Linked DNA regions of Elephas maximus indicus. The protein of the gene in region 3 purifies or fractionates together with the protein of the main gene of each other region. This does not show direct contact. Links are inferred from orthologs where the notes say so. Each region holds a gene or a part of one and is shown on either strand. Other genes may lie near its edges. The genes, in order: ANAPC7, anaphase-promoting complex subunit 2, ANAPC4 and ANAPC13.

Evidence for each region.
Region 1: the proteins of ANAPC4 (region 3) and ANAPC7 purify together in Homo sapiens (affinity purification with western blotting; 14 studies listed by BioGRID and IntAct, with this or other methods). This does not show direct contact. The link is inferred for Elephas maximus indicus from reciprocal best matches to the Homo sapiens genes ANAPC4 and ANAPC7.
Region 2: the proteins of ANAPC4 (region 3) and anaphase-promoting complex subunit 2 purify together in Homo sapiens (affinity purification with western blotting; 12 studies listed by BioGRID and IntAct, with this or other methods). This does not show direct contact. The link is inferred for Elephas maximus indicus from reciprocal best matches to the Homo sapiens genes ANAPC4 and ANAPC2.
Region 4: the proteins of ANAPC4 (region 3) and ANAPC13 purify together in Homo sapiens (affinity purification with mass spectrometry; 9 studies listed by BioGRID and IntAct, counting the BioPlex papers as one, with this or other methods). This does not show direct contact. The link is inferred for Elephas maximus indicus from reciprocal best matches to the Homo sapiens genes ANAPC4 and ANAPC13.

The regions. Positions count from the first base shown.
Region 1 is NC_064840.1:9,000,653-9,008,534, forward strand, and holds the start of ANAPC7 (anaphase-promoting complex subunit 7), read right to left. Parts: upstream 3,253-7,882; 5' UTR 3,170-3,252; coding exon 3,069-3,169; intron 1-3,068. UniProt on the Homo sapiens protein: Component of the anaphase promoting complex/cyclosome (APC/C), a cell cycle-regulated E3 ubiquitin ligase that controls progression through mitosis and the G1 phase of the cell cycle.
Region 2 is NC_064827.1:1,039,239-1,046,676, forward strand, and holds the start of anaphase-promoting complex subunit 2, read left to right. Parts: upstream 1-4,165; 5' UTR 4,166-4,298; coding exon 4,299-4,415; intron 4,416-4,716; coding exon 4,717-5,339; intron 5,340-6,298; coding exon 6,299-6,431; intron 6,432-7,432; coding exon 7,433-7,438. Other genes in the region: TPRN (taperin), read left to right, coding at 1-133, 216-322, 419-481; microtubule nucleation factor SSNA1, read right to left, coding at 2,816-2,923, 3,365-3,564, 4,026-4,077. UniProt on the Homo sapiens protein: Together with the RING-H2 protein ANAPC11, constitutes the catalytic component of the anaphase promoting complex/cyclosome (APC/C), a cell cycle-regulated E3 ubiquitin ligase that controls progression through mitosis and the G1 phase of the cell cycle.
Region 3 is NC_064823.1:137,986,463-137,994,675, forward strand, and holds the start of ANAPC4 (anaphase-promoting complex subunit 4), read right to left. Parts: upstream 3,015-8,213; 5' UTR 2,927-3,014; intron 1-2,926. Other genes in the region: rRNA N6-adenosine-methyltransferase ZCCHC4, read right to left, coding at 3,015-3,162. UniProt on the Homo sapiens protein: Component of the anaphase promoting complex/cyclosome (APC/C), a cell cycle-regulated E3 ubiquitin ligase that controls progression through mitosis and the G1 phase of the cell cycle.
Region 4 is NC_064844.1:45,037,331-45,044,992, forward strand, and holds the start of ANAPC13 (anaphase-promoting complex subunit 13), read left to right. Parts: upstream 1-4,599; 5' UTR 4,600-4,619; intron 4,620-4,660; exon of another isoform or gene 4,661-4,795; intron 4,796-4,822; exon of another isoform or gene 4,823-4,948; intron 4,949-7,662. Other genes in the region: CEP63 (centrosomal protein of 63 kDa), read right to left, coding at 869-999. UniProt on the Homo sapiens protein: Component of the anaphase promoting complex/cyclosome (APC/C), a cell cycle-regulated E3 ubiquitin ligase that controls progression through mitosis and the G1 phase of the cell cycle.

The DNA.
Region 1 (7,882 bases), on a different chromosome or scaffold from region 3:
GATATAATTTTTTTTTTAATCCAAAAGTAAATTATTAACACTAGATCAATTCTTATTTTCTTGAGTGTTAGGGGTTTACGGACAGTGTAAAGGACCCAATGTTTCAAAACTTTTTCTTTAACCTTGAATACTGCTCGTAAGCACTATAACTGGCTAGAAGCCAGCATTCTGAATTCTTAATGGGAAACTCATACTTTTAATTTCCAATCCCACCCTGCCCCTTCATTCCCAAATGAAAAGGAGCTTAACATGGTTTTCTTTGACAGGTAGAAACTATAGCTGCTTAAAATTAAAGAACAGAGTGAGTGAAAGAACTCTGTAGACAGTGAGTTTCTCAACAAATGGAGGTGTATTCAAGAACAGGTACAATAGGGACAGAAAGTAAATATGCAGTGGTTGCCAGGGGCTGGGGAAGGGTAGATGGAGAGTAACTGCTAATGGGTGTGGATTTCTTTTTGTGCAGGGTGATCAAATGTTCCGGAATTAAGGTAGTGGTGATGGTTACACACCTTATGAATATACTAAAAACCATATAATTCGACAGTTTAGAGGTTGAATTTTATCTTATGTGAATTCTATCTCCTTATAAAAAATAATAATAAAAAAAAAAGGATAGGCTAAACACTAGATCAAGTTACAAAGGAAATTCAAGAACTGTAAGGTACAGTGCAGATGACTTCAGATTTCTTCCAACTCTGAGATTCTATGTATTTAGTGAGAAGTATGTATCTGATGCTTGGATAAAGAACAAAGTATCATCATATACACAGAACACATTCAGGTATTTATATAATGTAACATACACGCCTATTTATGTGGGCAGAGGTGAGGTTCTCTCAGGAATGATACATGAAAAACTGTTAACAACTGTGGCCTCTGGAGAAGGGAATGGTGGTGTGGTGCTCAGGAGCTAGGGACAGACACTATCTGCATATAAGATGACAGAGCACGGGGCAATAGTTTCATTCTGTTACTGAGACAACTAACAACAACCCTTTCTGTACTTTTTTTAAACTATTAGCATGTAACTGTCTATTCAGTAAGAAATTTTAAAATATAAAGGTTAGAACTTAAATATATAGATACATGTTGTGTCTGCTCTTCTTTATTGATATTCTCCTCTAGAGGCAGAAGCTAGGAAGCTGCCAGTCGAACTTCATATGAAGAAGCCTAGGCTAACTAAAGAGCAGCCCGAGGATCAGACTATCCTATAACTTCTTCAAGAAACAATGAGTACCCCGGACCCTTTGATAGCCCAAGACTGGAACCATTCCTGAAACCAACTCTACAGACAAGGATTGGCCTAGACTCACATGAGACCATGTGGGCGATTCCTGCCTGATGGTGAGATGAGAAGGAAGAGGGGGACAGGAGCTGGTTGAATGGATACGGGGAATACAGGATGGAGAAGAGGAGTGTGCTGTATCGTTAAGGGGAGTGCAGCTGGGAGTACACGGCAGGGTGTGTACGGCTCTTTGTATGAGAGACTGACTTGATTTGTAAACTTTCACCTAAAGCCCAATAAATAAATTAAAAAAAAAAGAAAAGAAAAAGAAACAATGAGTAATGACTAACTGGTGCATAAATCCCAAGTGTGGAAACCATATGCTTTGGCAAATCACTCTGGAGCAAGTGAAAGGCTCCAGAATAAACACAGAAGGCTGACAGAAGCCAGGGCTCCTTGCTGTCAGCATTAAGTGGATGGTGGCAAAATGATGGGTCTCACAGAGTGAAGTCCAAAGCACGTTCATGGAAATGAAATGGGAAGCAGTGGCTGCACTACAGGCACTTAAGGCCTTTCCCTTCTGACGTAGACTGCTTCTAGAGCAGACCAACCACACTGGGTCCATGCTAAGTAGGAAATTCAACCACAATGCCATTTAGGCTGTGGTGGGTCAGCACGGAGGCAGAGAGGACCAAGGTCCCATCCCGGATCCTCCACCTACTAAATGTGTGAAGTTGGACAAGGTATTTCACCAGAGATCGTACCCACTTGCTTATCACACTTAATAAACACATGAGTGCTTACTGCACACCAGGTTAAGTGCTAAAGATACAGCAGGGAAGGCAATTAATAGGGCTCCTGCCCTCATGATGCCTACGGTCTGGCAGGGGAGGTAGATGTAGATGAAATAACAGAACTTCATCAGTGACAAGAGTGATGCAGAAAATAAAACAGAGCAATCGGCTAGAAGAGTAGGGAAAAGGGACAATTCTAGTGGTCAGAGAAGGGCTCTCCAGGAGGGATATCTGAGCTGAAAACTGAATGAAGCAGCAGGAAGAGCAGTGTAAAGGCCCAGAGGTGAGAACAAGCCTGATGCGTTTAAGTCACAGAAAGAACTGTCGAGGGGGCTGGAAGGCAGTGAGCAGAGCAAAGGAGATGAAGCCGGGTTGGGCCTTGCAGGCTATGTTGAGCACAATGGAGGATTTTAAGCAGGGGAATGACAATGCGATCACAGCTGGAATGAGGCCGGTGCTTCATCCATCCTAAGACTCAGTAAGTGGCAGCTGTGAGAATATGAAAGGGGCACGCTCTGCATCTCCTGGGAGTCCTGGGACCTGACATAAAGAGGCGCCACTCCCACCTGATCATCGAGGGAGCCGCCCGTTTTCAGGGGCTTGTCTAGGCGAGACATTCAAAGGAGAAAGGCAATCCCAAGGGTGGGAAAAAGGAATAAAAGGCAGGGGGCTGGGCCCCCTGGAGCTGCCGAGAGCGGGAAAACGTTCTTCCGGAAGGAGCCGGGAGGGCAGGATTCAGCCCAGCGACGCCTGACAGCCGCTCTGCTCGGCGCCAGGTGCCTCAGCAAACCGGTCGCTCCCAACTTTCGGGGGACCCTCTCCAGGGCAATCCTTTCGGGGGACCCCCTTCAGGGCAATCCTGGGAACCTCCCGCCGTGCAGTCCTCCGCGGGGAGCTCATCCCAGCGAACTCGCCGTGCGCTCCCACGTCGGATCCGCCGACGAGGCCTCGCTGACACCTGAGCCTCACCTGGGGCCCGCGGCCGCTCCACCCCGCTCCCAAACCGGCGCCGCTTTGTCTCAGCCCAGCCGCTCCCCGCCTCGACTCACGGGTTATTGTTACTCATCGTCAGTAACAAGCTGCTGAGGAGCCGCACGTTGGAGTGCAGCCCCGCGGCCGCCATATCCCGCACGTGGTCTATCACGTTCATTCTACCCGACGAAGCCGCAGGCAGCGGCACCGAAGGCCGGTACAGGCGCCCTAGAGAGGCCTCCAAAATGGCGGCCCCGCCGGGGTCCATCGGGTCCACGTGAGGCACCGCCTCCAAGAAAATAGGCGACTTCCGTAGTGCCTGCTTAAAAAGTCAGGTCCTGGCCGCCCCGCGCCTCCTGTGACGTACTGGGGCGCTTGATTTGCAATCCCCCCTCCGCCCCGTAAGGAAAAATTATGTTATCATTCCTAATCCGCAAACTTTATTGAGGGCTTACATTGGGCTAGGCTAGGGACCGAACACCTTTCAGTAAGAATAATTGCTCAATTGAAGTGAGATGAGTCTGAGAGGAATGTGTACCTCAAAAATTAATTACTAATGTATACACATTTATTATAAATAAAATCAAATTTGAAAAAGTAGAAAAAATACAGTAGGGCGCTGAAAAATTTTCAACGTCGTCGTCGTTAGGTGCCATCCAGCCCCTTCTGACTCATAGCGACCCTGTGTACAACTGAACAAAACACTGCCAGGTCCTGCACCATCCTCACAATCCTTGCTATGCCTGAGCCTATTCTTGCAGCCACTGTGTCGATCCATCTTGAGGGTCTTCCTCTCTTTCGCTGACCCTCCACCAAGCATGATATCCTTCCTGACGATATGTCCGAAGTACGTAAAGCCAAGTCTCACCATCCTTCCTTCTCAGGAGCGTTCGGGTTGTACTTCTCCCGAGAAAGATTTGTTCATTCTAGTAGTTCATGGTACATTTAATATTCTCCAAAATCGTAAATCAAGGGCATCAATTCTTTGGTCTGACTTATTCATTGCCCAGGCTTAGCATGCATATGAGGTGATTGAAAATACTGTGGCTTGAGTCAAGCACACCTTAGTCCTCAAAGTGACATCTTTGCTTTTTAACACTTTAAAGAGGTCTTTTGCAGTGGATTTGTCCAATGCAATATGTCATATGATTTCTTGACTGCTGCTTCCATGGGTGTTGATTGTGGATCCAAGTAAAATGAAATACTTGACAACTTCAGGGTTATCTCCATTTATCATGATATTGCCTATAGGTCCAGTAGTGAGAATTTTTGTTTTCTTTATGTTGGGGTGTAATCCATACTAAAGGCTGTGGTCTTTGATCTTCATCAGTAAGTGCTTCAAGTCCTCTTTGCCTTCTGCAAGCAAGGTTGTGCCATCTGCATGTCATAGACTGTTGATGAGTCTTCCTCCAATCCCAATGCCCAGTTCTTCTTCATACGGTCCAGCTTCTCGGATTATTTGCTCAGTACATACAGATTCAATAAGTGCGGTGAAAGGATACAACTCTGATGCACACCCTTCCTGATTTTAAACCAGGGAGTATCCCTGTGTTCTGTTTGAATGACTGCCTCTTGGTCTATGTACAGTTTCCCCATGAGCACAAAGAAGTGTTCTGGAATTCCCACTCTTTGCAATGTTATCCATAACTTGTTATGATCCACACCATCAAATGCCTTTGCATAGTCAATAAAACAAGGTAAACATCTTTTTGGTATACTCCGCTTTTAGCAAAGATCCATCTGACATCAGCAATGATATCCCTCATTCCACATCCTCTTTTGAGTCCAGCTTGAATTTCTGGCAGTTCCCTGTTGATGTGCTGTTGCAACCGGTTTTTAATTATCTTCAGCAAAATTTTATTTACATGTGATATTAATGACATTGATAATTTCCACTTCCTATTGGATCACCTTTCTTTGGAATCGGCACAGATATGGATCTCTTCCAGTCAGTCGGCCAGGTAGTTATCTACCAAATTTCTTGACATAGACAAGTGAGTGCTTCCAGGATTGCATCCCTGCATTTGTTTGTTGAAATATTGCAACTGGTATTCTGTTAATTCCTGGAGCCTTGTTTTTCACCAATGACTTCAGTGCAGCTCAAACTTCTTTTAATACCATCGGTTCTTGAACATACACTACCTCCTTAAATGGTTGAATGTCGCCCAGTCCTTTTTGGTACAGTGACTCTGTGTATTCCTTTCATCTTCCATCTTCTCTTGGTGCTTCCTGCATCATTAAATATCTTGCCCATAGTGTTTCAGTATTTCAAATCTAGGGTTGAATTTTTCTTCAGTTCTTTCAGCTTGAGAAACGTTGAGCATGTTTTTTCCTTTTGGTTTTCTAATTCAAGATCTTTGAACATTTCATTATAATACTTCGTCTTCTTGAGCTGCTCTTTGAAATCTTCTGTTCAGCTCTTTCATGTCATTTTTTCCATTTGCTTGACTTACTTTACCTTCAAGAGCAAGTTTCAGAGTCCTTTCTGACATCCGTTTTGGCCTTTCTTTTCTGTCTTTTTAATGATCTTTTGCATTCTTCAGGTATGACGTCCTTGGTGTCACCCCACGAGTCCACCTAAAATAAATCCTCAATAAAAAAAATTAAAAATTTTTTTTTTTTTTTTTTTTTAAGCTGGAGTTAAATATTTTAAGCAGGCGCCAGGGGCAGTCCTAACTGCTCTTCCTGTTGCGCTTGCGCACTAGACTGAAGGCGCCACACCCCCTCCTGGCAGGTGTTTCGTGCGTTCTTGGGGAGTCAGACATCCCCTCCTGGATAGCTGCCTTCCGTGCGAAAGGGCAGTTTTACCCTGTGAAATGACTCGCTAGCTCACAGTGAATGAAGAAGGCGCGTCCAAAAATGAGCTGGTACTCATAATAGCCAGCATTTGTCTAACACAGTTGACATTTTACAAAAGTTTTACACCAGTTATTGCATTGAATGGGTTGCTCACAAATCAGTCTGTAAGGTTGAAATTGTTATCTTTTTACAGGTGGAGAAACTGAGGCCGCCTGCTTAAATTTTGTGCCAGATATTTAAATGGCTGTTTCCAAAACACCTAATTACACAGTGGCAAAATATATTAGATCGCCACTTCAGATGCGTATGAGGGCCAGGGAGAAAATTGAACGAGGCAGGTTAGATGTTTGAGCTAAACAGAGTAGGAATATTCTCCACTTCTTACCAAAAAAATATGACCTGTGGCTCTTTGGAATTTATTGTGAAATGGGGCTTTTATTAATCTCCACAAATTTATCCTTATGTTTACGACTTTTCATAACTTTGCATATCTGGTGCTTTGAAAGTAAAATTAATAAGTGTTTTTTTAATAACCTATGAGCTTGTGCTACAGTGATTGATGACTTTTTTTTACCGCTCATTGAGTACGAATATGCCAAGACAATCAGTTTTGACAAAATGATCGACAAGGTTGCAGAATTTGAGGAACAAAAATAGAAACTAATATTTATTTCTGTGCCAGACCAATGAATAAAATACAGGTTTGTTTTTTGTTGAAAAAAATTTTTAAGTTTTAAGCCATTACCTTTTTATACTGTAATATTTATTAAATTTTTACTGTCATTATTTAGATGAAATTCAGATAAAATATGTTTTCATTGGTTATTTTCTGGCCATTACGATTACTTCTTTCATTTCAGGATCATTGCTAAAAGTAATTTTGTCATGTACTTTAACATACCCAAAAAAAAACCCAGTGCCCTTGAGTCGATATAGGAGGTGTAAAAATTATCTACTCTGGGTGTCAAACTTGCTAAGTATACCACTGTATCTAACACGCTCAGAGCAATGTCTGGCACATAGTAAAAGAAAAAGGGCCATATAAAAAAAACAAACCAAAATCTTTGCTGTAGAGTTGATTCCAACTCATGGTGACCCCATGTGTTGCAGAGTAGAGCTATGCTCCGCAGCTTTCAAGGCTGTTACAGTTTGGAAGGGAGCCCTGGTGGCACAAAGGTCAAGCACTTGGCTGCTAACAGAACGGTTGGCGGTTTGAACATGCCAGCTTCTCTGAGGGAGAAAGATGGGGCAGTTTGCTTCCGTAAAGATTATAGCCTTGGAAACCCTATGGGGTAGTTTCAGTCTGTCCTATAGGGTTGCTGTGAGTCAGAATTGATTCGATGGCAACGGGGTTTTATCTTTTGGAAGCAGATTGTAGGCCTTTCTTGCAAGGCACCTCTGTGTTGGTTTAAATCACCAATCTTCTGGTTATAGTCAAGCGCTTAACTGTTTGCGCCACCCAGCGACTCCTAAGCACTACATGTTTGCTATTATATATTTTTCTACATTTGAAATATTTTGTAAGTAAAACCACATCTGATAATAGCCAAAAAGTGGAAATAATCCAAATGTCCATCAACTGATGAATAGATAAACTGTGGCATATACAATGAAACAGTATTCAGCGATAAAAGGGAATAAAGTACAGCCAAAACATGAATGGATCTGAAAAAAAAAATTATTCTGAAAATCATGCTAAGTGAAAGCCACCAGAGGTGAAAGACCACATAGTCTATGCATCCATTTCTATGAAATGTCTCAGAAAGTAGATTAGTGGTTGTCTGGCTGGGTGGGGGAGTGAGGATTGACCACACGGGGGTCACTTTGGGTTGACAGAAATGTTCTAAAACTGGATTGTGGTGATGGCGGCACAACTCTGTAAATTTACTAAGAATCATTGAATTGTACACTTACAATGGGTGAATTTTACTGTATGTAAATTATACGTCAATGAAGCTTTCAAAAAATAAAAACACATAGGTTACATAAGGAACCCTTGTGGCTCAGAGGTTAAGCACTCAGCTGCTAACCTAAAGGTCAGTGGTTCAAAGCCACCAGCCGCTCCGTGGGAGAAAGGTGTGGCAGTCTGCTT
Region 2 (7,438 bases), on a different chromosome or scaffold from region 3:
GAGGAGGGGGAGGACGAGGGGTCCGGCTCAGAGGGGGCAGCCGAGGAGAAGCCCTTTGTGCTCTTCCTGCCCCGGGCCACCTTCGTGAACAGCGTGGGGCCCGAGAGCCCTCGGCTGCCAGGTGGTAGCCCAGGTGAGTGCCCACCTGTGAGGGTGGCAGTGGGGGAGGGCAGTGCTGGGATCCCAGGTCCTCATACTGCGCCTATGACCCACAGACCTGTCCAGCTACACTCCAAAGCACTCGGTGGCCTTCAGCAAGTGGCAGGAGCAGACAGCAGAGCTGGTTCCGTGCGAGGTGGAGCCCCTTCCTAAGGAGATCATGGTGAGTGGGGGCTGGAGGGTACCAAGGGGCAGGGCCAGAGAGGGTCTTGAACGCCTGGACAAGCCAGCAGCCTCAGCCATCCCCTCTTTCTCCCAGCTCACTCCTGCCGGCCAGAATGACCTCTCGGACTTCCGCAGTGAGCCGGCCCTCTATTTCTGATCCTTCAGGATGATGGGTAGAACCCTGGTGCAGGTGGTGGGGCCAGCAGTTCCCAGGAGCCCGCCTTCACTCTGTCCCCACCCCTTACCAGGCTCCCTTGCCACAATGTACCACCTTCTGCCCTGCAAGGGCAGCCAGGTGCTCAGGGCCTGCACTGGGGCTCCTGGGTTCTTCCCATGGGTCTGTCTGGGTCTCACTTCCTTTGGATGGGCTCCAAAGTAGAGAGCGGTGTGGGGCCCAGGGGTCCGGCTGGATGGCGCCCCTGTCTGTCCTGGTGGGGGCCTGAGCGGACTCTGGCCCAGGTTACCCTCTGTCCTGCCAAGCCCTGGCTCCTCATCCTGCCCAGTTGCACTGTGAAGGGGCTCTCCCCTGCAGGGGCTCCCTGGCCCACCCCTAGCCCAGCCAGCACTGACCCCCAAGGCTGAGCCTGGCCCTGCTTCTTGAGTGGTAAACGGGAAGTCTTTCCTGAGGAACGGACTAAATAAACAGCACTGGACACTGCCGCCTCGGTCTCTGGGTGGTCCCTCCTGTTGGGCATTCAGGGTTCAGGGGTTGGGGTTCCACGGAGCACATCTGCTGGGGGCCCACTGGGGGGTGGGGGAGGGGAGGGACCTTGTAGATGGGCACCTGTGGCCAAGTAGGAGGTACCTGTTGGCCTCTCACAATCTCCACAGCCCCAGCTCTCCCCCACCATTCTCTCACCCAGCTGCCCTGTGTCGCCTCTCGGTCAGTGTCGGGAGCGCCTGGTGCAGCACCCCCACCTAGAGCTGGCAACTTTAGGAGGCAGGATGCTGGGCCTTCCATCTGAGATTGGGAATTCTTTGTGTGCCAGGACCTGAGTTGGTTCCCTGAAGAGTTAGGGGCAAGGAGCCCGAGAGGGGTTGAAGAGCAAGGGCTGAGTATGGGCCCACGGGTGGTCTGGGGCAGGGCAGAGCCCTGGAGATCTTGGCTTTGTTTGGCTTGGAAAAGTCCTAACCCAGCAGAGCCCACACAGTGGCAGGCAGGCAGGCAGATGTGGGTGCCTGGGGTGGGCGCTAGTGCTGGCAGGAAAAACCGAAGTATGTCAAGAGGTGGGAAAGCCGAGGTGGGGGCCCCCACACTGGAGCAGCTCCTGGCTGGGCTGGGGGCCCAGATATCCTCGCTGCCACGTGCAGGCTGAGCCGGGCTGTTTACAAATCCACAGGCAGGACCGACCAAGCATTGAGTCTGAATACCTGTTTCCTTCCTGGGGAGTTAGGGAGTCAAACTTATGAATGAGCAAGTGGGACCAGGTTTGGGACAAAGGGCAGCATGTTGGTGTGTTCTCTCTCCTCTCAACAACATGTGTCTCCCCAAGGCACCCAGCCACAGGCCTGGGTTGCTGCAGTGCTAGGACCCCAGGGTGGAGGATATGCCAGCGAAGGTAGGGTTGGAGAGGTCTGGGGATGAAGGATGGGGCCCAGCAGCGCAGGGAAGAAGAGAAGTGGACAGAAAGGGTGTGAAGCTATAAGGCCTGTGTTCAGAGGAACCAGCGTCCAGAAGGGGGCTGGCGTGCACACTCAGCCATTTCCAACTGTCCTTGGGCCCGGCTATGGTGTGGCAGAGAGCACGACCAGCAGATGAAGGCCCTCAGAGAAGGATGGGCTGTGTCCTGGATTTGGGGGAAAGTAAGTGGGGGTCGGGTGAGACAGGGATAGAGCAAGTGGCCGTAGGTGAAGCAAAGGTCTGGGGCTGACATCTGCAGGTAGGCGGAGGAGGGTCATGGGAGATGCCCAGTGGCACCCTCTGCATCTGAGACTGGGGCTCTCAGTCACAGGGAAAACCACTCCAAGTCCCCTTTCCCTGCCCCGCCCCATGGAGGAGCCACCATACCCAGCCAGAACCTTTGTGGGCTAGCTCTGGGGGTGGCAAGCAGCCCCATGTACTCGACACAGGCACAAGCCAGCACGATTCTTTACAAAGAAAGCCTTTATTCACACAGTCACGGGGCACTAGGAACAAGCTCTGAGGTCTCAGTTCTGAGGCAGAAGAGGGCCCAACCACTACCTCACTTGCCTGGGCCCCTGCTGGCCAAGGAGGGACAAGGGAGGCAGAAGTCCTGGGGGTTGAGACTAGAACCAGCAGCACAGGGAGGCGTGGAGGTTTTGGAGTGCCCTCCCCAATTGCTGCCTGCTGGGAGCACCACGGAGCCAGATCCCTGCCTGGTAGGCTACTTTTCTCATCCAGAGCTAACAAAGGCTGCAGCTGCCTTGATACCAAAGACAGGAAAAGAAGGTGGCTGCTGCCATACAGAACAAAGACGCTTTATTAACAGGTTTCCTGGGGGCCAAGTAGCCTGGCCCACCCATGGCCTCGTCAACTGTCCTTGCCCCCACTGGCCTTCTGCTCCGAAGCCGTGGCCTTGGTCAGGTTCCCAGCTTCTCTCTTCAGGACACTAAGCAGAGTCTGGGAGCTCTCCAGGATCTGAGACCAAAGAAAACACAGGCTGGTCATTGATGCTCCCGCCTGGGGGGTACCCGGGGACAGGCAGGGCCTGCAGGGGCCTCTTCCCTCCCCAGGTCTGGCCAGTGCTTTGTTCTCTGCCGGCCCCCCGTCCATCACACACCGAGCAGAGTGAACCTCAGGAACAACCGTGGTAGGAGAACATGGGCTGGGACACACCATGTTCCACAGACAGCATTCTCCTTTCCTCAGTGGGCCCAGCCGAGATGTGGGGAAGATGCAGACTGCTCGCTGGGACCCCTTGCTCCCACAACTGAATGCCCCTGTGCTGAGCCAGGGTCCGGGGAGGGGAAGGGAAGCCTCTACTCAGGAAAGCCCCCAGTCCTGAACCCCCTAGGCACTCAACGCTTGCCCACACAAGGGATCGGCCTGGCCTGTGGCCCCAGCTGCCTCGAGTCCCACCTTGAGGTAGGCAGCTTCCGTCTCCGCGATGGTCCGGTCAAACTCGTTTCGAGAGGCGATCTTTCGAGCCAGGTTCTCATTGACCCGGGCCAGCTTCTCCGTCAGCTGCCTCACCTCGTTCTGCAGCCGCTGCTTCTCGTCCTCTTCCTGCTGGATCTGGCGGCACAGCTCCTCGCGCTTCTGGGACAACTCCTCGATGCCTGGGGCGGCAGGAAGGAGAGCAAGGTCCTGGCTAGGCCGCCTTCCCTCCAAGGAGGGCCAGAGTCCTGCCTCTCGGGGGCCTCTGGATACAATAAGGCGGTGGACGTGGGCGACAGCGCTGTGCCTGGGAGGTAGTGCTCACTACAAACACGCGGCACTCAGTGCGCACTCGGTGCGCACCAGGCGCTCTCCCACGCGCCTTCCACGCACAGTGACCGAGCTGGGCGGGTCCTAATGTACCGCTAGGCCCACCCTGGGGCCAGGAGGCCACGCACGGACTCGGCGCGACACTTGCCCACGGCCACGCAACTGCTTGGCGGCCGCGCGCCTACTGCCTGGGGCCCCGCCGCTGGGCCGCCGCCTCCAGCGCCCCGCTGCGCCCGGGCGGCTGTGCCAACGCTGGCCCAGGCCCCTCCGCGGGCTACGACCGCCCGGGCTACACGGCGCGGGACGTGCTCACACTTGACCAGCTCGTTGTTGTAGTTCTGCAGCGCCGCTCCCTGCTGAGTCATCGTCCCGGACACTCGCCCCTCCGCCGCCGCCGCGGGGATCCCGGTCACTCCAACCGCCGCCGCCGAGCACTCGCCTGCGCCTGCGCAGTGCGCACCGAGAGCGCGCCGACCTGCAACGTCATCGCCGCGCGCCTCTTTTGCGTCATCGCCCTGCGCCGCGCCCGGCCCGTGCGTCAAGGAGCCGCGCTGATCCGGGCGGACCCGGGAGCCGGTGGGCCCAGATGGCTGCAGAGGCGGCGGGGGCGAAGGGGGACTGCGACCCCGCGCCCGGACAGGAGCTGTTGGTGGCCTGGAACACCGTGAGCACCGGGCTGGTGCCGCCGGCTGCGCTGGGGCTGGTGAGGCCCGGAAGAGAACGGCGGGCTCGCGCGCGGTCCCCGCGAAGCTTTAGGGCCTCCGCCTCTGTCCATCGCCCGTCTCTGCCCTCCCGCCCTCCTCCACAGTCCCGCATCTTTCGGCTCCCTTGCCAGCCCTTCCCAGCGTCGGCGCCACATCGGCGCGCTGCGGCCGAGGAGCGGCGGGGCTCGCGCAGCCTCCCCTCCGCTGCACTGCCCGCCTTTCCCGCCTGCCGCTCCCCTCCCCCGCCACGTCCACTCGCAGCTCTGCGTTCCCCTCTCCTCACGGTTGTCTGCACTGTAGGCGTCCTCTCGGACCAGCGGTGCGGTCCAGCCAAAGGAGGAGGAGCTCCGGGCGGCTGTGGAGGTTCTGCGGGGCCACGGCCTGCACTCAGTCCTGGAGGAGTGGTTCGTGGAGGTGCTGCAGAACGACCTGCAGGCTAACATCTCCCCCGAGTTCTGGAATGCCATCTCCCAGCGCGAGAACTCCGCGGACGAGCCCCAGTGCCTTCTGCTGCTCCTTGACGCTTTTGGCCTGTTGGAGAATCGCCTGGATCCCTACCTGCGTAGCTTAGAGCTCCTGGAGAAATGGTCTCGCCTGGGATTGCTGATGGGCACTGGCGCACAGGGGCTGCGGGAGAAGGTCCACACCATGTTGCGGGGTGTTCTGTTTTTTTCCACTCCCAGAACTTTCCAGGAGATGATCCAACGTCTCTACGGGCGCTTCTTGAGAGTCTATATGCAGAGTAAGAGGAAGGGGGAAGGAGGCACCGACCCAGAACTGGAGGGGGAGTTGGATAGCCGATATGCTCGCCGCCGTTACTACCGGCTCCTGCAGAGCCCACTCTGTGCTGGGTGTGGCAGTGACAAGCAGCAGTGTTGGTGTCGCCAGGCCCTGGAGCAGTTCCACCAGCTCAGCCAGGTCCTGTGAGTACTATGCGTGTGGCCACGCCCCTGGGCCTCCTGATTTCCCAATTGTTCCTCTGGGTCTGGCTGCAGAGAGCTGGTCAGCTGGCCAGGGGCATCCCAGAGGGAGGGGGCCCTGGCACCCTTGGATGGTGAGTTTTGAGCCTTTGGTCTTGGACCAGTTGTATCTCTTTAGTTTTTGTGCACAGCCCAGGAGTTGACACTTTGCCCACACTGAGACCCTATGTGACTTGTGCGTGCAGCAGATTTCTGTCCCCATTCCAAACTTACTGGCTCCCCAGAATTCTGCTGTACTGCCTGTAGGCTAACGGGAGTGTACGTAGCCTGTGATTGTGGTTGCTGTGCCAGTGGGTAACAAACAGGGGGCTCACCATTTCTTCTGTGCTGAGCGTGTCAGGCAGGCAGATTTGTGTCCCCATTCTCTGGGAAGGAGTTCTTGTTGGCTGCAGCCAGGCTCTGCTGTCTGCTCCCTCCAGCGCGGTTATGATTTCTGTCATGTTGAGCAAAGTGGTTGCGATGCCGTTGTTTGGAAGGGGTCTCTTAGTTAGATTTGGATCAAGGGAGTGGTCCCGCTGCTGCCAAGGGCCCTAGAGGCCCTGAAGGGCTTCTGCTAGGCTCATCCCAGTTGAAGGTTGTATGGAACGCTCTTTCTTGTTTCCTCGTGAGTAGCTTTATTTTTCTAGACCAGCGTTCGTGCTGAAAGGTGCAGACGGTGGTATCTATGTTTACGTGGCCCGGGTAGCAGTGATTCAGTTGCTGTTTCCGAGCCAGGCCAGGGAGATGGGGCTTGGGCCTCTGGTAGCTCCCCTGCCGCCACTTCCTACGGGAATGGCCATCACCCCAGTCTGGGCAGTCCAGCTGGGCAGGCCAAATGGCACCTCGCCAGTGCTCTGTTCTCCCAGCAGCTTTTCCACAGAGCCCTGGCACAGCTGACACTGCACACACTCGTCTGTTCTCAGACACAGACTCAGTTTGCTGGAACGGGTCAGTGCCGAGGCTGTGACCACCACGCTGCACCAGGTGACCCGGGAGAGGATGGAGGACCGCTGCCGGGGCGAGTACGAACGCTCCTTCCTACGGGAGTTCCACAAGGTATCGCCGCCTTTGCTCCGTCCCCTTTGGAAGTGTGCCAAAGTGCAGAGACGGAGTGGGCTGGGACCTCGAAGGTAGTTGAGGCCATTCCGGGGGCTGCACTGATCATGTTGCATCCACGACGTGCTGGGTGAAGTCTTAGCGGAATCACACGGTTCGAGGCAGTGCCAGGGCCAAGCAGCGGTGTGGCCAGGCCCACCTGAGAGGGACAGACTGATCTCCTTTTAGCTGCGCCCCCCGGGGACTGACCCCTTGCAGCCAGCCTGCATCCCAGCATGGCCTGCGCACCCCCATGGGGCAGAGGAGGAGGGGCAGGAAGAGAAGAGCAGCCAGGGCAATGGGGGAGACTGGGGAGACAGCCTGGCAAGGTGGGGTCGTATCCCAGGGTGGGCCTCATGGTACTGTGCCATCCACAGACAGGCTTGGGGCTCTCCCAGAGCTGGCGGAGAGCTGGGACCAACCGTCGTGGCTCCCTGCTTTTCACCTGTTCTCACTCCGCCATTTCTGAGGGTCGCTCTCCAAAAATGACGGTTAGCATGGTTGAAGGAGGTACAATAGGGGTCCTCCAAGCAGTGGGCAAGAGTGGTCATGAGCCCTGGCAGCCCAGCTGGGACGAAGTGCAGATTCCCAGATACTGGAGTGAGCCGGGGACTCAAGGCGCAGCAGCCCAGGGCAGCTTGGGCTGTCTCTGTGGTGTTAACCCCACCCACGTCTGGGACGCCTCTCAGCAGGATCACACGTACACACACACACAGGAGTGACTTTGTCCCGCACTGCTTTGTTTGTGAAGGGCAGGGCACTGGTAACATCTGTGTCCTGGAGGGGTGTACCCACGCGGTGCATGCAGCGTGTGAGTGTGTGTGCAACTGTCTCACTCACGTGTGACATCAGTGTCAGTGGAGATGAACAGGGGGGCTGACGTGCATAGAGGGGGCTGGAGTCAGGGCCTGGGGCGCCCGTGCGCTGCCAGCCTCCACCTCACAGCCGTGCCTGCCCCACAGTGGATC
Region 3 (8,213 bases):
CCTTTTAACACGCAGAATGTTTGGGTGACTTTCCCTAGTTTGCTCCCACTCCTCACTGCCACATTTGTAGGTGAAGAAACTGAGGTCTGCCTACTCCAGCTGTTTCTTAGGAATTACCTTGTCTCATCTGCAGTGGTATTCAACAACTAACCAGTCTGAGAATCTTGTGACTGTCCAGCTAATGGGGTAAAACTCAGAGCTAGCACGTCTGCTTGCTTACTTGCTTACTTTTGCTGCTATCTCCCTCAGTCTACACTAGCTCACCTGAAATCAAATAGTAGAAATCATATCATATGATCGTATCATATCACTTTCAAGTAACTTAACACATGTCCTAATGCTCCAATTAAAATAGCATCAAATAAATGAAATTAGATTTTCCTTTCCATTTTCTGGAAGTGTTCCTCACCTGGGCAGCTCTAAGTGTGTTAGCTTCCTATTCAAGTAGCAGAGTTAAGGTTTTGAGGCATTTCCACTCACTTAATCTGTATTTATAAGCACCTAACACTTGGAAGGTTTTTTTTAACACTTGGAAGGTATTGTCTTGGTGTAAAGAAATGCGTTAGGCTGTCTGCCTAATTCCCAGAGTTGTTGGGTGGAGTAACCCAGATCATACATGATGCAGCTGGTTATCTCTGATGTCACCGGGCGCAAGGGGCAGTTCCAGGAACCAGTGAACAAACATCGTTATGTCCACAAGGCCCCTGTCATCAGTGAGCTTCTAATGTGTAATGAGGTAAACGAGTACCTAAAGTCATTCTAATACAGCGCATGCTTTAAGTACCTTAAGAGAAGTACAAATTAAGACACACACAAGCACACATTGTATTTTTATTGCACTGGCAAGAGAAGTGCTATTCCCCTGGAGAGAACAACAAGGACATCGTGAAGGAGGTGGCATCTCCCCAGGGCCTTTTGCAGGCTGTAGTTTTATACCCAAAAGCTCGTCAAACTTCTCCCAGATGCCTAGTATTTTATAGCTTACTTCGAAGAGGCCAGACATCAACATAAATGTTTTTCTTAAAACAACCTAGGAAGCCAAATTATTCTAAGTTTAAAGACTTCCAGATAAGGCTGTCAATCTTCCTCACACAGCACATTCCAGCATTGAAAACCTCAGTGTTAGAATAGTCCTTGTATTGACTCTAAATTCCTATCAGAATTGTGTAGATCTGTTTTCCCTTTTTTTCAGCCCTTACAGGAAACAGAAAATAGAAGTTCTCTCCATATCTTACGCATGCCTACCATCTGAAAACTTCTAGAAAATTCTATCCTTCAAAACAATTTTACTGAGCACCTATAACGTGCAAGAGAGACATAAATGTTGAATTGACGTTATGTTGTGTTATATATATATATATTTTTACAATTAAAAAAAGAAAAAATTGATGGTGTCTTAAAATTAAGGAAATAATGTGATGATAACCATTAGCCATTAGGGCTCAATTCTTCAGGAGTCATGGTCCCACAGGTGTCTGGGTGCCAGACAGAGATACTTGAGAGATTTCATAGTTATCATGTATGGTGGATACCACAACAGTGAGGCAATGTCCCTGTCCATGTCTGACTCAGAGAAGGTTACTCTTACAATGATTTTACCAGGTTCACATCTCATCTAATCACCTCCAAATCTGTCTCTCCTACCACCATAGCAACCCACGTGACCAAGGGGGCAAGAGAAGAGTTTTCTGATGCTTCTAAAAGTCCAGGAACTTGGCCCATCCTTGGATGTCACCTGAAATATACCACTACCACAACGATCAGGGCCACGCTAGAGTATTCCACTTCATGTATTGAAAAGGCCTAACATACCTGGAATTCAAACACCAGATGGAGTGCACTTCCCTCCAACCTTACTCACAGGGGACTCCAGCTAACCCCAAGCAAAGATGCCTCCAAATTTGCTCTAAAGCGGTAGTTTGGGGACAAGGGAAAGCCATTATGCAGGTGGAAGCCATTCGAAACTATTCAGTTTTGAGGAGATAACGTCAGATATCTAGCAGGGAAATGGGGAGATGAACTGTTTGTTCTCTTGAGTATAAACTGCTCCCTGCAGTGCTTTGATACTGGACCACTGGAGGATTAACATCGGGCCTCCCCAGCAATCTTCATTTGTTATCATGGCTCACCAGTGACAGAAGAGAGCCATGAGTGAGGCACATGTGTCTCATTTAACTCACTAAAGCAAACCTGGGTCTACCTATTATTATCCTCATTGTAATAATGAGTAACGGGCTTCTAGACAGTGAGTGACCTGGTCAAGGACACACAGCCAGGAAGTGTTAGGATATGAGTGAGGGTTTAAACCACCAAACTAGCCTGCTTTCTGCTACTACTTACACATAGAGATACACTAACAGCATAGATTAAAAGAAGCCGAGATGACACAGCTCGTTGATTCTAAATGTCTCATTCATTCAACAAAGACAAGTGATTCTGTACATTGAAGGACAACTATAAAATGTACTTTACAAGTAAATATTTAAGAGTAATGTCATCATAATTATATTTATATCTTCAGAGTGCCTTTGTCAAAACTATTTCCATCTTCAGATGCAGCCTAAAAATAATTGTACATTGTACGTTTCTTTTCAAGTGGAGTTTAAACCATCTCATACTGTTTTAATATTTAACTTCAAATATTTCCATTTCTAAGTTAACAGAGTTTTATGTTCAATGTAAACAAAAATTCTTAAGTTTTCACTTTCATTTTCTTCTGACACCTTCTGCAAAAGAATGCTGTATGTCCATTTTTCAGATAAAGAAGGCTAAAATAGTATGATTGGAAAAGAGAAGGAAGGCATGCAGAGAGAGCTAGTAAGCCAGCTAAGGATGGAACAACTCCCCAGGTCTCCAGAGAGGTGGACAAGGCATCTATAAACCAGCATATACTGCCTGACTGTATCTGGCTTAGCCAGGTACATACCTTTGCAAGTGGCTGAATTTAAGTCCAGTGTGGCACTTTCAGAAAATGGCATCAAAGGTTGGACTATAAATCTTTTCTGATTCTCAAGTCACTGGACATTTAAGAGCAAAGATATTGATGGGCTCTTTCCCTTCTCTTTTTTTTTCCTTCTAACAGATGTATGATTCATGGATTGTCCTTTAGTGGTCTCCAATTCCATCTTATTACTTTTTCTTTGCTTCTGCTTCCTGACAGCTCTGAAAAACAAGGTACTAAATTATTTTGTAGAATGAGCACAGTAAATTCTGTAATTATGTTGAAGTTTAATTAACTAGCTAACCAAATAAGAAAACAGAGGAGAGAAGGAATTTACTGTATTATAAGCATAAATCCACAGAACTCTTACCATAGTAACAAGGAGATAGCCAGAAGCCTGACCAAACAAAATGTTTGAGAAAAGAAATTTCTTTGAAAGATGGTTACTACACATTTAGAACAATCTGTTTAGGACAAACACATCACAGAGGTAGTCAAGCCAATGAGTTATGTTTTTGGTTTTTTCTGTTTTGTTTTTTTTTTTTTTTTTGGTACATCCATACTGCTCAACTCAGCACTTCAATCTTCAAACCCCTGAATTACATTTTTTACAAAAAGGACCTATGCATTCGGCAGTTAGCATAATGGGAAAATGACAACACTGGAAGGGGCCCATTTTATAAGTCCTACAGTCCTTGGGCTAATTTTCCTTTCCTCAGGAACTAAAAGTCCTGGGCAAGTGCCATACAGGTTGTCCACATTTTGTGGTCCCTGTCTTCCTGAAAACTAGCTTCAAAATGAAAAAGCTGGACCCTGCCCTCTAAAAGCACTAAACCACACCAGAAAAAAACAGATCATTTGCTTCTGGCATTCTCTGAACTAAGTTACGGGTAATCTGTGGCTGAGAAAGACTACTGGTTTGTACATTCACTTTCTCCAAGCTGGAAGAATACCATTTATCGTATCATGAACCAGAGAACAGGTTGGGCTTAACAGTTCTGGCAAGCCTAGAAATTTCCCGTCACTAGTCAGCAAAAGGAAACCCTGGTGGTGTAGTAGTTAAGTGGTATGGCTGCAAACCAAAGGCTCAGCAGTTCACATCCACCAGGTGCTCCTTGGAAACTCTATGGGGCAGTTCTACTCTGTCCTACAGGGTCGCAATGAGTCGGAATCGACTCGACAGCACTGGATTTGGTTTTGGTTTGGTTTAGTCAGCAATAACAGAAGCCCTCGTGGTGAAGTGGTTAAAGTGCTCGGCTGCTAATGGAAAGGTCCGCGGTTCGAATCCACCGGACTGCTCCACTTGAGAAAGATGCAGCTGTCTGCTTCTGTAAAGATTACAGCCTTGGAAACCCTAGGGGGCAGTTCTACTCTGTCCTATAGGGTCACTATGAATCGGAACTGACTCGATGGCAATGGATTTGGTTTTTGATAGCTAGCAATATCAATAGTTAGCTTCACCTCTCGTAAACCACAAGCCCTGGGGAAAAGCTTATTTTTGACCTCCCAGGACCAAAACCTGCGAAAGGTTTCACAAACAATACATAATCCCCTAGTGAACCAAACTTAAGCCTCACTTTTTGTTCACTCGGCATAAGTGTCAAGAATACAAAAATGAATGGGCATAATCTTTGACTTCAAAGAGCTAGAAGACAGATGAGGCGGAAATCACCCTCCTATCCCTTCCCTAGGCTTTTTTTAGGAAAAGAAATTAAGGCTATGAAAATCTACGATCATCCAGTGAGGAAGTGGCAAAACTAGACTGATTCCAGAAACTGCTTTTAATCATTTTGGATGCTATGCATTACTATAAATTACTCAGCTATGCAAAATGCTAAGCATATGGTAATCACTCAATAAATATTAGTAGTAGTTCCACACGACTCAAGTGTTATTCAGTTTCGCTTGACAAGTTTGCAATGTTCCGTATGTAGACTTTGCACTATGGATTGGAATATTCTATCAGTTCAAAATGAAAACAGTCATCTTTATATTGTTTTTGCACGTTATACAAATCTCCTCTTTCCCCCAGCCAATTTTTAAATGTAAGATAATTTCCTGATAAGTGATGATTTAGCAAGTTTAATGAAGTATAGTATAATCTCTTGATAACAAAGTCAATGCCTGTACAAATAAATTTAAACAAATTTTTCTTTGGCTCATCCGCGAATAAGCATGACTAAAAATCAACACTATAACCAGATTTCACTAGGGGATACAGTAAACAAAAATAGGTGGAAAAAAATCTTAATATATTCATTTTCAATATGAATAAACAAAGCTTTGCAGATATAAAGTCTTGAAGCTGTGATGAACTGATTGAGTATAAATCAAATAATTGTTTTTACTTAAAATTAAAGTTAGTCTTTGTCCTCTAAAAGTATTTATGTAATTGACAAAATGAGTTTTAACCACAAGAGGGAGCCAGCATCATTCCAGTTCACAACCAAAGGAAAATTAGCATTAAGGAAAAACAAATTAATATAAAACAGCTGTAAAAAACAGAAGCTAAAAAGATCTTTTATGCCATGTATGCCTAAAATACTATTAAAATTATTTTTTTACTATCTTAAAGAGAAAAAATAACATAGCCTTGTTAATTTTAAAATAAAAAATTTTTTAAGAGAAATGTTAGCAAGAGTTTAGGAATCTTCTCTGAGAGAAGCAAGTAAAATACTATTTAAGAATGACCAGATATACCACATCCCCAAGGATTTGCTCTTAGACTTAAACTTCCTAAAATCTGTACTGAAAGACACAGATGAATTCCCACAATGAAAACAATATACGGTAAAACCTGTGAAAGCCGGAACCTGTGTAAGGTGGAAACCTGTCAGAGAAGGAAAACACAAATATTTTCCACAAATAGAGAGCAACAGAAAAGTAGTAAGACTGCAACCTGTCAAAGGCCGAAAACTTTCAAGACCCAGAAAAACAAGGCAGTCCTGTCACGTTCCAGCTCTCACAGGTTGTACTGTATTACCACAAAACAGACTAACTGAGGCTATTTAAAACCCAGGAAAGAGCCTACCGGGCCCTGGTGGTACAATGGTTAAGCATTTGGTTCCTAACCAAAGGGTCAGCAGTTCGAGTCCACCAGCAGCGCCTTGGAAACTCTGGGGCAGTTTTACCCTGTCCTATAGGATCTATGAGTCCGACAGCAACAGGTGTGTGTGTGTGTGTGTGTGTGTGTGTGTAAGAATGCAAGTTCAGTTTCTATGTATCATGAGTTTACAGAGGTAAAGGCTGAGCATGTTATCTTCCTGTTCCTACTGAGAATAGTGTAACAGTCACAGACCGATAGTTTATTAGGTTGCATTCTACTCTTAAAGGTTTCTACTAGAAGATTTTGTAAGATTCGTCAATAAGTTCTGTCTGTTTCTATAATGATCTCAAATCCCATAAGGTCTAAGACACTATTATGCTTTCAAAATACATATGAATAAGCACTCATAATATGAACTTAGAACTATGTCTACCACTCTGAGGCTCTCCTAATAAAGTAATTTAGAAAATTTCTAAACTTAGACACAGAAACACAGGAGCATGTGAAGTATGTAAAGAATGTAAATAACCTTTAAGTTCACTCTGACCCAGCATCCTGTGATACAAGAAAACAACATTAATTAAACAACCTCCCTAATGTCTAACCTTGAAGAGAAAATGCATCTTTTGGCTACTCTCTAACCCTGAAGAAAAGACAGAACATACTAGTCTTTGACGTCACACTGGCCCTCATGTGAAGCCAAGGTGATAAATTCACATATAAACTCTAAATTTCTGCTCGCGTACTGAGAGAAGATAGATATGGAACTGAGATTCTGTCCACCACCACTGGCCTTGGACCCTAGCTGTAAGGGATCTCTAATGAGTTCCAGCTGTGGTGAAGCCTGCCTCCTGAGACCTCTCATCAAAGGTATAAACCTGAAAGCAAAAGATTTGGACTCTAACCATTGACCAACATTGTAATTGTAAATTCTGATTCTCCAGTTCTAAATGAATGTTGTGAGGTCTTACCTGCATGACTACCTTGCAGTAAACTAAAGCTTATGCATATCAAACCTGAGTATCTCTTTACTAATTTTCTAAGATATTAAAAGCCTACACGACAGCCTCTTTAATGTTTTTAAAATTCTACTTCCATTCGGGTTACTTAATGGAAAAAATTATTTAAAATAGAGTAAATCTGATAAAAAGTAATGGAAAAGTCAGTTTAAGTAGGAGGTAGAATTCAAGTGGCTGGGTTTTAATGAAAAAAATTAATTTTCACAAAGAAAATAAAAAGAGATAATAGAATCCTAATACAATCATAAAATAGTAACTAATGAATGCATCATATACTTCTAATACTAATAGGTGTTTTTTCATCACAGCTCACATGACGGCTCAGAATCTTCTATCTTGATTTCAAACGTTCATGTAATGTGAAATTTGGATATCTGGTAATCTCTACCTAATAACCATGTGACCTTAGGAAAGGGTCTCAGTTTTCTTATCCATAAAACAAGAGGGTTCAATTCCTATCATCCCTTTAGTTTAAAAAAAAAAAAAAGATAATTATAATCATTCAAATTAGCCTGGTTGAAATAGCAATGGTTTTCCTAAATATGCTATTGTTACTGGTATAACTTTTCTCTGGTCTACAATCAATACCAAATATTGGTGGTAGTAGTGAAAATAATCATAGAAAAGAATGGCAATAAAAGTTTGAAACATTTACATATTAAATATTTTTAAGTATTTTCCTTTCGTCTGACTTGCTTTTAAGAAATAATTTCATTTTACAATTTCTCTACCATGGAATTACATGTTACATTCAATCTGAAATACCTTCTCCAGCCTTTCCTGCTACCACAAGTCTAAACCTGATCTGTCCCTGGAAGACTGGCTTAAAGAGTCCTTCAGTAAAGCCTGAACTCTTACCCTACAGTGAAACATAACCTCTCCCTCTATCAAATTACAACTGGACACAGGACAGGTACAGTTAATCAGTTTCTGCCTTATATTTTGGTTATTTTCATGTCTTATCCTGTAAAATTGTGAACTTTTTGAAAGCAAGCTCTTTGACTCATCTTCATATCCTGCCTCCATCTATGCAAACAATACTTAATTTTTTAGTAAATGATTACTAGTAGAGATTGTGACTTTAAATGTTTTATTAGTATCTTTTCAACGATAATAGCGAATGAAACCCCGGTGGCTGCTAACCAAAAGTTTGGCAGTTCGAATCCACCAGGTGCTCATTGGAAACTCTATGGGGCAGTTCTACCCT
Region 4 (7,662 bases), on a different chromosome or scaffold from region 3:
TGTAACACAGGGGGCTGCCATTAGCTGGAACCCACGAGGTGGCAAGAGTTTTTTTTTTTTTTTTTTGGTTTGTTTTATAGGAGCTACATTAATGCTTTACATATAACAAAACCAATCAAAATTTTTAAAAAGCAATACTGAAAGGCTGGAAACAAAATGAAATAAGTGAATCAACTAAATATCAAGTTGGCAGCCTGCCATTTAAATTATTTCATATGCCTTTAATAAAATAATTTTATTGCACATATCCCTAGTGGAGTAAAAACTAAGGATAAAAAAGAACTGCAAAGAAATCCTAAACACCACTTGGGAATTATATGAATAATAATATAATTATATGAATTATATGAATATGAATAATAACAATAATTGGTATTGTTAATTTGAAACCATTACATAATTATAGGATAAGGCAAAAAAGAAATATTTAATGACATTAGGTACCAAGATTTTCAGCAAGAGAAAAAGATACAAATATAAAATCAAACACATGATTTAAAAAAAAAATCTATAATATTAAACTGGAAATGTCATTGTGAACTCTGTACATTTCTCTTTTAGCTCTGGCTACTGTAAATCGTAGAACCAATGACCACCTAAAAGGAACCAGGGCTCCTTGGAGGCCAGAAATGTATAGATGACCAGGAATATGTTTTACTAGGAAGCAAGAAAATTATCAGAGACTACTGGAGTCATGTCAAAAAGAACAAGAGCCAACTTAAAAGGACTTCTGCTAGTTAAAGATAGTACAATTTGACTATCAAAGAAAAGAACAATGATTCCAATAGGTCAAAACAGTTAAAATATATTCAAATCTATGAGTATATGATGATAAAAAATTAAAAAAAGCAAAAACCTGCATGGTTACCTTTGGAAGTTGCTAGGGCACCGACTCATTACTGTAGTCTGAAAATAGAGGGAAAGAGGTAAGCATTTTTCTCGCCTTTCCTGTACAAACTGTATGTCAGGATAATCAAATAGCTGATGAGGGAAAGTCATCCTTCATAAAAGATTTCCACCTAATAAATACAGAAATAATGAAAAAATTGCAAAATCACCATTTTGCAAACCCTAATGCAATAATTTGGTGGCGTAGCGGTTAAGTGCTATGGCTGCTAACCAAAAGGTCGGCAGTTTGAATCCGCCAGGCATTCCCTGGAAACTCTGATGGGGCAGTTGTACCCTGTCCTGTAGGGTCACCATCAGTCGAAATCGACTCGATGGCAACAGGTTTGGTTTTTTTTTTAATGCAATAATAATAGGATCAGACAGTGTTTTGTTCTGTTGTACATAGGGTCGCTATGAGTTAGAAGGACTGGATGGCACCTAACAACAACAATGCAATGATTAGGAGCCCTAGCGGTGCGTTGGTTAAATGCTCGGCTACTTACTGAAGGGCCTGCAGTTTGAACCCACCAACTACTCCATGGAAGAAAGATGTGGCAGTCTGCTTCTGTAAAGATTACAGCCTTGGAAGCCCTATGGGGCAGTTCTACTCTGTCCTATAGGATTACTATGAGTCAGAATCAACTTGACAGAAAATACCGCAATAATGGATACAGTAAATCTAACCCACAAAAGTATTTTACCAACAGGTGAACCGCTCATAGGAGCTTTTATGATGAATGGATTGGGCTAACAACACCTGAACCCACTGTTCACAAAAAGAGACCACTCAGACACTACCTGCCCCCCGACAATGATACAATAGCAAGTACACTGCAGCACCTATAAAATATTCTTGCCCCCACTCATCAAAAAAAGAAAAAAATCAAGGGTGAATATGATCAAGCTTATAGGTAAGTGCTCTTCAACAGAGCTTTATGCAATTACGGAAATTATGGGCGACTGGGCTTAAAATGTGGCTAATGCAGCTAATGAAATAAATTTTTAATTTTAATTAATCTAAATAGCCACAGTTGGCTGGTGGTTACCATATTGGACAGTGCAGTTCTATATCTAATGGTTTAGCAGAAATAACAGAGGTACAAGTTAAAGGATACCACATAGCTACAACCAGCTAAATCTAGATGGCAATGAAAAAAGGGGAAAGAGAAAAGCAAATTACTAAGATTGTAACAGACTTAAAAAGTATATCAACCAAATGTAACATGTGGGTAGATCTTTACAAGACTTTCATCCAAACAAGCGAACTGTAAAGACATTTATGGGATGGTTGGTGAAATCTGAACCCTGCCTGGATATTGACATTATAGAATTATTAATTTTGTAGGTGTGATGACAGTATCATGGTTTTGTAAAACCGAAAAAAGAAACCTCTGTTCTTGGAGGGAAAAACCCGTAAGTAACATAAAAATCAGAAATTCAATTCCTGAAACCTTATGTCATAATTGGCTTTGGCAGAACAAGTCAACATTGGAAAAAAAAGGAATGATCTAATGAGAGAGTGGACTACTCACCATAAGGCTAAGGGCTTCTACCTCTTAAGTGGAGGAAAATGGCATCAGTACAATTAATATATATACTTATCACAAATTTTTTACATCTGAATTTACATCATTTTAAATGGCAGTGTCAATCCAAATGTTTATAAATCTCTAATCCATTTTAGTTTAAAGCCTTTTTTAAAATTATACCTATCTCTGATAATGACATAGTCAAAAGGCAAGCAGCAAGCAAGTTTGAGAAACAAATGGAAATTTATAAGAATGAATAATTTTTTCAAACCTTCTGAATTCAGGATAAAAATTAAAGACAGTATTGTATTCCACATAAGAAAAGATATACTTTTTATTGTATCATTAAGCTCTAGCTATTAAGTGTATGGAATCTCTGGGTGGTGCAAAGGTTAATGTGCTGGGTTGCTAACCGAAAGTTTGGAGGCTCAAGTCCATCCAGACGCACCTCAGAAAAAAGGCCTGGCAACCTGCTTCTGAAAAATAAACCATTGAAAATCCTGCAGAGAACAGTTCTACTCTGACACACATGAGGTCGCCATGGGTCGGGATGAACTGGATCATTTTTTTGTTTTGTTTTGGTTTAAGTATAAACGTAAATATTTGAAGGTAAAGTGTAGTTGATGATCATTATCATGATTTCCTCTTCATCTACAGCCTTGGTGGCACAGTGGTTAAGAGCTCAGCTGCTAACCAAAAGGTTTTAAGTTTGAAGCTCCTTGGAAACTGTGAGGCAGTTTTACTATCCTATATGGTCGCTGAGTTGGGATTGACTCCACCAAAATGGATTGTTTTTTTCTTCATCTCTATGAAATAAAAACTAAATGCTAACATGAGCATTTATAAGGACCTGTACAAATATGGGAATCTACAATATCGCTTTATTAAAGAAATAAAGTAGCTTTCTTTAAAAATCGGTTTAGGGAATCAGACGCAAAAACTAAGTGCTCAGGGGAAACTACTTTATGGAAGTGTACTGCACTGTTAATTACAAAAAAAGACTAGTCTCTGACAGCCTTATATTTCTCTCCTGATGTTACAGGGACACAAGAAAAACCCCATCACGAGCTAGATTTACTGTCTCTATTTTCAGGATTAAAGTGTTTCTAAGGAATCGCCGTTTTTAACCCACTCTTACGTGGTTCCCAGTCCTGACTTGCACGCATGGAGCAATCAGTTCAGGGTTCCCCAACTTCAGTCCTTCCCGAATTTTGCCACATCCTCGTACTTCCTGTACTAAATATTAGCATTTTTTAAACGAATTCGCTTTTTTAAAATTGTTAACCACCCAACCATTCATGAGCCGGTACTACCTGCAATAAATCAGCAACAATGCTAGAAAATTCTAACCAGATCCAGCAGCAGGGACAGATTGTCCAATAAACAAGGCACGCACGGGCTTACTTGTGCTTATTATTAATTTGTGCTTATTCACCTACGGGCCAGGTGAAATTGTGCACTCCAGAGAAGTAAACACAAGTGAACCCGTGTGTACCTTGCTTACCGGTCAATGCGCCCCTATCCAGCAGCCTAGGTAAGGGGTTGTGCTGAGGGACCAGCACCGTAAGGAGGAGAGCGCGCGGGAGCCTTTGCCACGAAGAGCGGACTGCCAGCGGCCCGCCCACCCGACTGCTCCCCGAAGCACCCCTCCCCGCCGCCGGGCTCCAGCAAGGCTGACCACCTGGCGGGCCCGGAACGCGCGCCAGGCGCCGCTACGTCCGCCTTCACAGGCCGGCAGGAAGCGCGCAGCATAGCCGAGGGGCGGGGGGCGGAGGGGCGCCGAGACGGGCTTGGCGGCTTGCGGGCGGCGGCGGCGGGGACCGGGCCATGCGGCCCCGCGGCCGGCGGCACCACTGCAGCCAGGTCGCCCTCCGAACGAGCCCGCCCCTCACCCGCTGCGCCAAGCGCACAGGCGGTTACCGGGGTACCGCGAGCGCGCCCCCGACCCTTCCCGCCGTTACCTCGGGCCGGGGACGCGCACGCGCGTCCCCACCAGCCCTACGTCCCGGCTCTGTCGTTAGCACGTTCGTTCCGCCCACTCCCCCCTCACTCTTCCTTGAAACAGTGTCCTTTCAGGACCTCCCCTCTGCGCGCGCAAATGGGCTCACCCACATCCGGGAACGCGCGAGAGGGGCGTGCTCGGCGGAAGCGAGGCCGCGGTGGGCTGGGTGCTGGGGAGAGCTTCCCGCGCTCCCGGCCCAGGTCTGGGGAGGGCGAGGAGGCCTTCGCTCTTTGTGTTGGGTCTCCTCCCCGTCTGCCGTTGGCCGAAGTCGGTGACCTTACCTCTCTCCCTGGGAGTTACCGCCCGCACCGCACGCCTCGTGGGGCGAAAAGGCGCGTCCGGGCGGCGGGGGACCCCCTCCCGGCCTCCGTATTCGGTCTGTGCAGCCCCAGGCCGGAAGCCGCGGCTGTGGAGCGGCCACACGCACAGGGGTGTAGACGGTGGTGACCCGCGAGGACGGTTCTGGCGAAGGAAAGATCGTTCTGCTTGATTCTGTAAATACGTTCTCAGGGCCGTGAAGGAGAGATGGGTAAAACGTGTCCGTGTTTCAGGGAACGCGCGCCGCCCTTCTGGGAAGACACGTAACGAGCCCGTAGTGTGGCCGCTCCATGCGCCGGGAGACGCTAGGACCCGCGGAGGGTTGGGCGTCGCGCTCTCCTCAGGCTGGGAGAAAACCGTCGGCAGGAGGCTTACCTGGAGCTGATCTTTTAGATGGAGGTTTAGCCGAGATGAGAGAAAAGAGCACCCCAGGCGTTAGGGCTAACACATGTGTAGGCACAAAGGCGTGGGAGAGAAAAGTTTGTTTAGTAAATTCCAAGTGTATTCGGTCGAGTGTGGTGAGTGCTTGGGACAGTGGCCGTGTCCTAATACCAAAAACCCACTGCCTCCAGTTCGCTCCGACTTACAGCGATTCTGTAGGATAGAGTAGAACTGCCCCATAGAGTTTCTAAGGCTGTAATCTTTAGGGAGCAGACCAAAACCAAACCCACTGCCGTCGAGTCGATTCCGACTCATAGGACCCTATAAGACCGAGTAGAGCTGCCCCATAGAGTTTCCAAGGAGCGCCTGGCAGATTCGAAGTGCCGACCCTTTGGTTAGCAGCCGTAGCACTTAACCACTACTAGGCATCCAGGGTTTCTTTAGGGAGCAGACTGCCACATTTTTCTCCCTAAGTGGCTTGTGGGTTCGTCATTGGTTTCAATGACGTTTGGGTTAGCAGCCGAGCACTTTAACCACTGTGGCACCAGGGCACCTTCCGCTTGTCTTAGACATGCTTATATTGATGCTTCCCACTTCTCCAGTCCATTAATCGTGAAGCCACCTAACCCCAGGAATGGGGTGTTGAATCCAGTGCCAGATTGGGGAAAAAAGTAGGAGTTAGTGATAGGGAAAGGGCGGCTATAAGTGCAAGGGCTGGGAGGTGTGACAGGATTGGAGGTGTTTGAGAGAGGAACAGGTGAAAAGCGATAGAAACAAAATTGGGGAAAGGTATGCCAAAGAGTCATTAATAACCAAATTTATATATATAACAATTGGAGATAATATTTTTTTAATCAGTGGGCCACAATGCTGCCCTGACTTGGTTAGTGGATCGTAATGACAAAAAGCAAGAACAGAAATTAACTAAAACTCTAGTGATTTCAGAAAATTTTAGGAATGGTGAAATCTGTGTGGGCCTGGAAAAATCTGCAGGTTTGAATCAGTGGAGAAAAGTGAGGGGGGCATGGGGGAAGGGAACAGAGCAGAAAGGACAAAGGGAGTGGTAGCAGGACAAAGGAGCGCCCTTGGAGGACAGCAACTCCACAGGTATAACTGGAACCGAAAGTGAAAAAGCCTTGTGTGTAAATTTCCTAAACACAGGCTCTTTCAACTTGATTGACATTGTCGGTATAGTGGAGTAATTCTTAAGTGAAATATTACGATCTTCCTAAACTAGTTTACTGGTGGCAAAGATAGCTGGGCACCTTTTGCTTCACAGTTTTGCCTGGATCCTTACAAGAGTAAAAAACTTGCCCTACCCCAACCTGTGTAATTATTGCCCCAGTGTTTGGGCTATTGTGCAGTTACACTATTTGGACTACGTACAGGCCTGTATGAAGGAACTGGATTCCACCCCCAAAGACCATTCTTGTATGAGTCTCTGCTGTTTCTGAAACTGAGAGTGTCTAGAGTGCCTTTGGTGCCGGTGTCCTCCAGGCCTTCAGGATGGCACCTTTGTAGCAAGGAGCACAGTAAAGTGGTTCCCATGATGAAGTGACAGAGCCTAAACTTGGAGATTGGGAACCCAGAGGTACCCACCAAGCTGCCCAGCCTTTTCAGTTAGATTGCACCTGTTTCAGGAGGAAATGGGAGGAATCAGGGTCAAGGAGCTAAGTAAGTATCTTGACCACTTGAACCAGATTATTAAACGGGGAGCAGCGATAAGAATCCAGGGAAGAAACCCCACGTGGAAGCAGAAACTGGGGCAGCATGGGGTCCTGCCACCGTTCACCTGGAGAGGCCCTTTTCAGAGCTCGCTCAGGGTTCTGTTTTAAGAAAGGAGGTAGCTCGACTGCTGAAATCTTCTTGCCTTGAGGATTTGTGTCAGATCTGCTCTTGGCCACTATGTGTAACTCAGTTCAGTTTTTCGTTTAACTCTTGTATCTTAAAAACGCCAACAAAGGCAGAGACTTTTGTAAATGTAGTGCAGGAAATCTGTGAGGGGATGGACACGGGACTTAGCAGGCAGTTATGAGTCAGGAACTCATCAAAGGCCTCATAATCAGGGAAGAGCAAGGCTTTGAATTGGTTCGGTCATGGCCCAGGAGACAGGAAAAATTACAGGTGTCGAAGCCCTGTTAGAAACTTAATCTCCTTGAAAACCAAAGGCAGCATATGGGTTGCATGGCAACCAAATATCTTGCCCTTTGGATTTTGCGCAGTAAGAAGCAGTGGTGCCTGGCTCAAAGATGGTGGCTGAGCATGCTGCTTTGAATGTGTCACTCTCCTCATTCCTGGCAATAACCCATTCTCACAAATCAGGCTCCTTAAAGGGTGCACTATGCCACTTCTGAGTCTCCCATTGCAGGGCTTTGACCCATAATTTTTTCTGTTCCACTTATGGTTCTGGATCACCTAAATTTTAAAAATTTGTTTCTCTTCCAGTGTTAATTCCTTGGCCATGACTGAACTGGGAAGAACTGGTTCGAAGCCCTGGGGAAAAGTAAATGCGCAGCTAGGAGGGAAAAGCTGCGTTTTAGGTGT